2 linked regions of the Oryza sativa Japonica Group genome follow. The protein of the gene in region 2 binds, or shares a complex with, the protein of the main gene of each other region. Links are inferred from orthologs where the notes say so. Each region holds a gene or a part of one and is shown on either strand. Other genes may lie near its edges.

The links.
Region 1: mediator of RNA polymerase II transcription subunit 4 (region 2) and mediator of RNA polymerase II transcription subunit 21 share a complex: the UniProt entries of both Arabidopsis thaliana proteins name them as parts of the mediator complex. The link is inferred for Oryza sativa Japonica Group from reciprocal best matches to the Arabidopsis thaliana genes AT5G02850 and MED21.

The regions. Positions count from the first base shown.
Region 1 is NC_089042.1:2,025,008-2,029,011, reverse strand, and holds mediator of RNA polymerase II transcription subunit 21, read left to right. Parts: upstream 1-1,242; 5' UTR 1,243-1,357; coding exon 1,358-1,681; intron 1,682-1,982; exon of another isoform or gene 1,983-2,065; intron 2,066-2,202; coding exon 2,203-2,274; intron 2,275-2,547; coding exon 2,548-2,599; intron 2,600-2,713; coding exon 2,714-2,790; 3' UTR 2,791-2,801; intron 2,802-3,270; 3' UTR 3,271-3,504; downstream 3,505-4,004. Other genes in the region: major pollen allergen Ole e 10, read right to left, coding at 3,830-3,855, 3,948-4,004. UniProt on the Arabidopsis thaliana protein: Component of the Mediator complex, a coactivator involved in the regulated transcription of nearly all RNA polymerase II-dependent genes.
Region 2 is NC_089043.1:25,716,120-25,720,011, reverse strand, and holds mediator of RNA polymerase II transcription subunit 4, read left to right. Parts: upstream 1-1,588; 5' UTR 1,589-1,663; coding exon 1,664-2,908; 3' UTR 2,909-3,229; downstream 3,230-3,892. Other genes in the region: histone-binding protein MSI1 homolog, read right to left, coding at 788-1,411. UniProt on the Arabidopsis thaliana protein: Component of the Mediator complex, a coactivator involved in the regulated transcription of nearly all RNA polymerase II-dependent genes.

The sequences.
Region 1 (4,004 bases), on a different chromosome or scaffold from region 2:
CGCCGGCTTGTGGTCGATCTGCAGGCTGTCAATGCTGGGGTAACTTGCTGCTGTCCCGAAGCAAAAAACAACAATTTTCCAGTGTTGAAATCAATGTCATCCAACAATCCAAGACATGTAAAACGTTACCACTGGATGAATGATGCAAGAACAATGGTAAATGTCAGATTCAATTCAGGGTTCTCGTTCTTGTGGAGTCACTCACATTCAGATGATGCGGCTGCGACGAGGGCACACCACCCAGCTTCTGCTGCTGATACTTGCTCCCGTTCGCCTCCTGCAGGAGATCACCATTGAAGAGGCTGCGACAACCCTAGCTCCTCCTCCTCCTCAGACCATTTCCTCCATGATAGGCTCCCTCCGTGGCCGCGGCCGCCGCGTCCGCCCTCGCGCTCCTCCTCCTCCTCCTGTCCCGCTCGCCGGTAGCACGAGGAGCCGCGTCCACGTCATCACCTACCGCTCCCCCGCCGCCTCTGCGGCCGCGGCCGCGCTCCCGTGGATCGACTGGGCGCGCACGGCGTCGATGAAGGCGGCCCCGGGCTGTTGTCCTTCGCCTCCGATCCGGGCAGCGTGGGTCGGTCGCTGGCGCTGCTCGTGGAGTTCGCTCATGGTCGGCGGCGGCGAGGCCCGGCATGGTCGGGTGAGGCAAGGTGGGAAGTCACGCGGGCGGCGGGTGAGGCTCATGGTCGGCGGCGGCGGCGAGGCCCGGCATGGTCGGGTGAGGCGAGGTGGGAAGTCACATTGTCGGCGGCGGCGAGGCCTGGCATGGTCGGGTGAGGCGAGGTGGGAAGTCACGCGGGCGGCAGGTGAGGCGGGCGGCGTGGCTGGCGTGCGTTCTTTTTTTCGTTCTTTTTGGCGTGCAGTTTCTTTTTTCGGAGCAAGACGCGGTGTTAATCCGGTGCTAATTGTAACCGCAGGATTAATCCGGCGCTAATTGCAATCATGGTGTTAATTACACTAAACAACTCGTGCTTTTTATATTAGTCTAGATTAGAGTCCAAGTCCGATTCAATTAGTGTTAACTAATCGGGTGAGTTAATTGTTAGTAATAGTTTGGTTTAATCCTGGGCCGTCCGATCCATTTGTGTGTGGATCAGATCTGGACGCGTGGTGGTGATGTGATGCAATTTTCCGCGTGGGGTCCCTTGGTTCCTTCGTAATCAAGCTAGCCATGGGCCCACGTGCCAGTCAGAGAGTGGCTTGCGCACTGTCGATGTGCTGGGCCCACCAGTTTTCTTTGATGGGCCTAGATGTAATTGGGCCTTGGTGGATAGAGAGGAGGAGGAGAGAGAAGGAGAGGGAGAAGAGGAGGAGGAGGAGGTCGCCGGCGGCGAGGAGGGGGACGAGATCGCCGGAGATGGACATCATCTCGCAGCTGCAGGAGCAGCTGAACGAGATGGCGATGGTGGCGGTGAACACCTTCGGGACGCTGCAGCGGGACGCGCCGCCGGTCCGCCTCTCCAACAACTACCCGGACCCGCTCAACCCCGCCGCCGCCGCAGCAGCAAACCCTAACCCCGACGACCCCGCCCAGCCGCAGCCTGGAGCGGCGGCGGCGGCGGCGGCGGGAGCTCCGGCTGCGCAGGCACAGGCTCCGCCGGCGCAGGCCCAGCCGCCCGCGCTCGACCTCGCCGAGCATCCCAAGGCCATGAGCCACGCGCTCGTCCTCGCCGCCAAGAAGGTACGCGTCTTCCGTCGCTTATCTTCTCTGCTTGCCACCTGCTCGATGAAATGCCTGAGTGCCTGCTGGTTCTTGGGGTCTGACGCTTTAGGGCTTGGACTGTAATTTTTGGTGTGACCAGCCTTAGCATTTTTGTGTGATTGCAACCACGGTCAGGGTGCCTGGTTCTTTGAAAATTCTTCTACTTACAGAATCATATCTTCTATAGTGAGATTGTTCATGTAGTGTGGTAGAGTACTTTAGTTGCATTGTGCTGTTTTTTAGCCCTCTCGAGATAATTTTGAATGGATCTGCAAAATAGGAGCTTCACTCATATTATTCCTCGCAAAGAAGGGTTGACGATGATGTGGATCACACCAATCTTTGTACTGTTCCTCGCAAAATGTAGGTGGGATGATGGTATGCAGCACACCAACCTCTGTCTCCAGAGGGCAAACTTTGCATCTGAGAGTACACTTGAAATGTGCTACTAGCTACTGTTTCCAATACCGTTCTCTTTTTTTTTTGGTTTTTTTATGCAGTTTGATGCTCTTGTTTCTGCGTTGCCACTATCATCTGAAGAGGATCAGCTGAAAAGAATTAAAGAGCTACAGGTATGTCTCAGTTTTGCCCTCTGAGCAGTACATTGTGAAAGGGTGACATTAAGCTAGTGTCTTGTGAAGATGGTATCTTTGTGCATGTTTCCTTCTGTTTTTTTTTTCCTACGCCTTGTGGATGGAGTTTCATACTAAGGTTGTCCTCCTTAGTCGCTTGCTTTCTTCTGAATGAAGGTTTAGCAGACGCTCGGCAGCATGTCCTGCCATAGTATCAGTATTCATGATACTTGTGTCCTGCAGCTAAAATGCTTATGAATTTGAAATGCGCAGGCAGAGAATGAAGTTGTAGGCACAGAGCTTCAGAAACAACTGGAAGCTGCTGGTATGCTTTGCTATTACATTCTTGGAATATTTTGCCTTCATTATATAATTCCTCACCATGTTACAACTGATTATTTACAAGTCCAGTGTTTTACATGTCTTGTTGCTTTTGTAGAGCTGGAGCTGAAGCAAGTTGAGGCTCTTTTTAATGAAGCTACAGATCATTGTATAAACTTGAAGAAGCCAGAGTAATAGTTATCAATGTAAGTTTGGATTTCTCCCTTCACTATCTCAATAAATCTTTAGCTTTTTTTGTGCTTGCAAAAAATTATGCTTGCGCTTATGATATGGGATTATTTTGTGACCAGCTGTATAATCCGCTTGACTTCCCAAACTTGGTACACTGTATTATCAGGAAGTCAGGATACTGATAACAATTTTGTTCTTATGGTGCTTTTTGCAGTACAATATTCTACATGCACCATTTACTAGATGGCTGTTGGCATCATGTCCATGATCAATTATTGGTTTATGTAGTTTATGTACGATGATGGCCTGAACAAAACATAATTATGGTGGATGTTGACCTGTTATATTAATCCCTCGCAAGATGCTTTCATAAAACCCTCTGGGGGCTTGTCTTTCTGTTGATCAGAAAATTCCAACACAGTGTTGTTACGTATGATCGTAGTATCACTAAAATGACTTATGTTTGCTTTCCTGTCATATCAGGTAACGGAACCCATTTTGGAGTCATGAACAGATGAAGGTGGAGATGTGAATGCCAGCTGCCGATGCTACATGTAGACTCAGTTTTAGTATCAAGTTAGCTGATGCTCAACAATATTCCAGTAGTACTTGTTGGATTAGGAATTAAACCTAGCACTGTAATTTACAGTAACTTGAATAGTTTCAAGCTGGTTCGTTTAATCTGAAATAATTTGAGCATAACTTCATGTTTATTTATTATAGTTGGGCCACTGTTCGTTCACAGCAGCACAGGACCATATAGTGCTATGCAAATACAATTAAGACATGCCTAGGATTCATACTCTTTGAACTTTGAAGAACTGCACTGAAGATATGGAACAATATTATCTCGGTATAAAGCATTCCTCTCTAAAGATTACCCAAACATTGAGGCTAAACATGACTTGAATTCTAGCAACTCTGACACTGAAATATAGAACACCATATTTTCTAGGGGCACTTGGACAAACAAAACATCCCTTGAAAACTTTATTTGTCAAGCTCCAGAGATTGGCTGGCTAACTTGGAGCAAACTCTCAACTCAGGCATACTTGCAATTGCCAGAACCTGCAAAGGTTGGCAAGAAAGCCATGTAAATTTGCAGGATTCAGGTGAAAGAAACAGCAAGTGAAGCAAGCTTTGAAGAGGCTAATACTTACTGGGATCAGTGATGGTGATGAGGCCAGTGCCGTTGAAGAAGCAATTCCATGAGTTCC
Region 2 (3,892 bases):
AAATGGTTGTAGAGAACTGTTAGCAGATTGGAAAGAGGAATTATACAACATTGTTACATGAACTGCTGCATATTCAATATTGCTTTTACGTGCGTACAAGAATTGCTCGACTAGCTTGCTAGGTGCTAGCCATTCCTTGCATGCCAAAACAGATACTGATTGTTCTGGAAAACAAGAGCTAATTTACTATCCTCCAGAGTATTGCAAAGTAGAGGTATCTCCTAGTTTTAATACCTCCAAAGGTCATAAAAAAACTCTTTCCACAATTACATTTAAAACATCCCAATTTCATGATGTTTGCTAATCAGCTCAGGTGCCTTCTAGAACGCTCACATAAAAAAAACTCAGTGATCTGTTTATGCATAATAGAATTGTTCCTCACACCAAGAGATGATTGTTTGTGCTTAAAATGCAGCTATGGAAATGGAACCATGTTCTCTTCTCGACTAGTTATTCAATTGCTGTGTCCTTTCTCCTACGCAGTGCAATTATCTACTCTGGAATTGTGCAGTTATTTCAGTTATAATGATTCTCTTCCAACATTTAGGAAAGACCAGAAACAGTTCAATTTCATTATTTCAATATTGTTTACTAAGAGATCTGGCAGATCAAAATTTGTTTACTGAAAAAAAAAAGGGGAAGAAACAATCGAAGCATCCTTACTAAATGAATTGGATTATGAATTACGAATCATTGCTCAACTGCATCGTATAATGTAACATTTAACGACTGTAAATGTTTACTGCAAAATGGAATGAGGGGAGGGGGGCATTTGACGGCGCATTACCTCGAACACATGATGTGCATCCAGAGACGAAGCTCCACTCCCAGCAGCGAGATCCCAAAGGCAAATCTTCTTATCATACGAGCCGCTCAGCAGCAACCCCTCCTTCATCGGACTCCACGCCAGCCCATACCCCTCCGCTTCATGCCCCCTGAGCACCACATCGGCGCCGCCCTTCTCGCCGCCGTCGCCAAGATGGTACACGTGCACCTCATCCACGCAGGTCTTGGTAGCCACCGTGTACGGCCTCTGCGGCATGCAGCGGGCGCGGTTGACCTCGCCCTTGTGCGGCACCGAGCGGGAGATGGACACGGACGGGGCCGGGACGGCACCGCCCGCCGCCGCGGCCGCCGCCGCCAGGCGGGGCGGGAGCGGGAGGGCGGCGTCGGCGAGTAGGAGGTGGTTGGGCGTCTCGTCGGAGGTGTGGGTGCCGAGGACGAGGCGGTGGGAGCGGGCGGAGCCCGGCGACCGGGAGTGGGAGGGGAGCCACTGGACGGTGAGCGACGGCCACTCGAGCGGCTGGGAGATGACGAGGTCGTAGAGCACCGGCGCGTTCTTCTTCCAGTTCTGGTGCTCCTCCATCTCCGCCGCCGACGACCTCGCCGCCGTGGAGGACCCGCCGTCCATGGCTCTTCTCTTGCGAATTGCGCGGGAAGTGGAGGCGGCGCTGTGGTGCTCTCCCGCCAAAAAGATTGGGGAGACGATGCGGCGGAGTCAGAAGAGATGGTGTTTTATGGCCGAGTTAATGGGCTTTTATGGGCCGTAAAGCCCATATAATACAATTTGGAGGCCCATTAGCCCATTAAGAGGAAATTTTGTCTAGTAGCTTCTGCCTCGCGTCCGTCTCCTGCATCCGCAGTCGCCGCCGCCGCCGCCGCGATGATGCAGTCGCACCACCCCTCGCCGGCGCGGCTGGGGCTGACGGCCTCGTCGCCGTCGCTCCCGCCCAACCCGGCTGCGGGGAATCCCACCTCCTCGCCGCCGCAGGGCAACCCTAGCGCGGCGGCGGCCGTGGGCGCTGCCGCTGCCGCTGCACCAACCCTAACTACATCGCCGTCGCTGCTGCCGCTCCTGCCGCCGCTCCCGCGGGCGCAGGCGCTCCTCCAGCTGATCTCCGCGCTCGCCTCCAACCTCTTCGAGCTCTCGCCGAGCCGCGCCGCGTGGATCTCGGCGTACCGGGGGTCACTCCCCACTTTCCTCCCCTCGCCGTCCTCCGCGCCGCCGCCGCCGCTCCCGGCCCCGATCTCCTCCACCAAGGAGGCGCTGTCGCTGCTCAACACGCTCCAGACCCAGCTCTTCGAGGCCGTCGCCGAGCTGCAGGAGACCCTCGACCTGCAGGACGCGCGCGCGCGCCTCGCCCGCGAGGCGCGCGCCAAGGACGCCTCGATCCTCGCCTTCGCCAAGAAGCTCCGCGAGGCGCACCACGTGCTCGACCGCCTCGTCGACGACTACGCCGACTACCGCCGCGACCCCAAGCGCCCGCGCGGCGCCGCGGCGGCGGACGACCCCGAGCCGGTGTCAGACGGCGACTTTGGCGCGTCGCTGCACTCCAAGCTCAACCTGGACGACGTCCTGACGTACGCCCACCGCATAAGCTACACGACCTTCGCGCCGCCTGAGCATGGTGCTGGGCTGCCTCTGCGTGGGGCGTTGCCGCCTGCTCCTCAGGAAAATGAGATGAGGATGTCGCAGCTGTATCAATTTGCGGATTTGGATGTTGGAGTGCCGAAATCCCAGGAAGCAAAGGAGAGGACTGCAGCAGAGGGAGATGCCACTCCGCTTTTTCAGCCTTCACCAACCCAGGAGGCAGCTGTGCTACCAATCACTGTGCCGCATCCGCATGGGTGGCGGAACGGGGCGCTGCCTCTCGAAATCCCGTTGCCGCCGCCTGGATGGAAACCCGGGGACCCGATCACTCTACCGCCGGATGGCATTCTGGCTGGTGTCAAGGGTGAGGAGCCACGGGCCAGTGTGCAACAGATGCCGGTTGTGGTGCCAGCAATGGTGCCGAAGGCACAAGAACCGATACAGGTTCGGCATGTTGATCTTGACATTAACAATAGTTCTAGCAGTGATGAGTACAGTAGCGACGTCGGGAGCTCTGAAGAAGATGATGAGGATTAGTTCCTTGGTAAGCTATTTTATGATTCATGTTTCCATGCCGTTGTAGGTCATGTACTAGTAAGAACAAATAATGCAAGCTCTCATACATGATTATTCAAGATCATGCAGCAATATACTGGTATTGAATAGAATTGGGTGGCGTATCATGTATGTGTTGATTAATTAAACCATCTCACTAGTCAATTTGCTTCGATATATGTAATCAAGCATGATGGTCTAATTTCCTCAGGATGTGCTGGTGTTGTATCGTCAGAAACATGGCTTCTTTTATGGATATTTAAACTTGAACATGGTGTGTTTAATGTTTGATGCCCTTCTTCACAGATTACAGGTTTCAGTCATAATTGCTTGCTAGGCTTGCTAGCTGGTTATGGGCTTTTCAATCAAGTAATGACTTCCATGTTCATGCACTCTGCTTAATTTTTCTCATTGTTTTACCTTATGTCTGTACCTCTTATTGCTGCAATATAGTTTGAAAACCTTTATACCATTGTACCAAAGAGTGGTAGCTGAAAACTCAAGAATGTTCTATAACTCAAGCTATATAAGTTATGAGAAGGGAGTGGTTTCAACTTGTAAGTTTGCACTTAAATGAACACACCATTTTTCCTATCTTATTGCACAGCATGGGGGATCTTCCTACTACAAACATGATACTAGTACTATAGGTCTTAGTTTTCATTCACGAGCTTATCTTGCAGATGATAAAGTAGTAATTGACTCAAATGGGTTAGAACTGCCAAAGCATCATCAGAAGTAACTCCTTTTATAATTTTATTGGTGCATATCGCATCTTTATGTACTTTTTTTTCCCAATTCAAGAGCTGCATGGTTATCAAAGCGGTCTCATCGTAATTTCAGTAGCCTTAGCAGGGTTTCCATCATAAAATATTCAATAGACATTGATCAGTTCTCTTTTGGGTATTAAGATATCATGTGACTTTGGATTTATACTTATATACAAGGGATGTAAAATTTTTACTA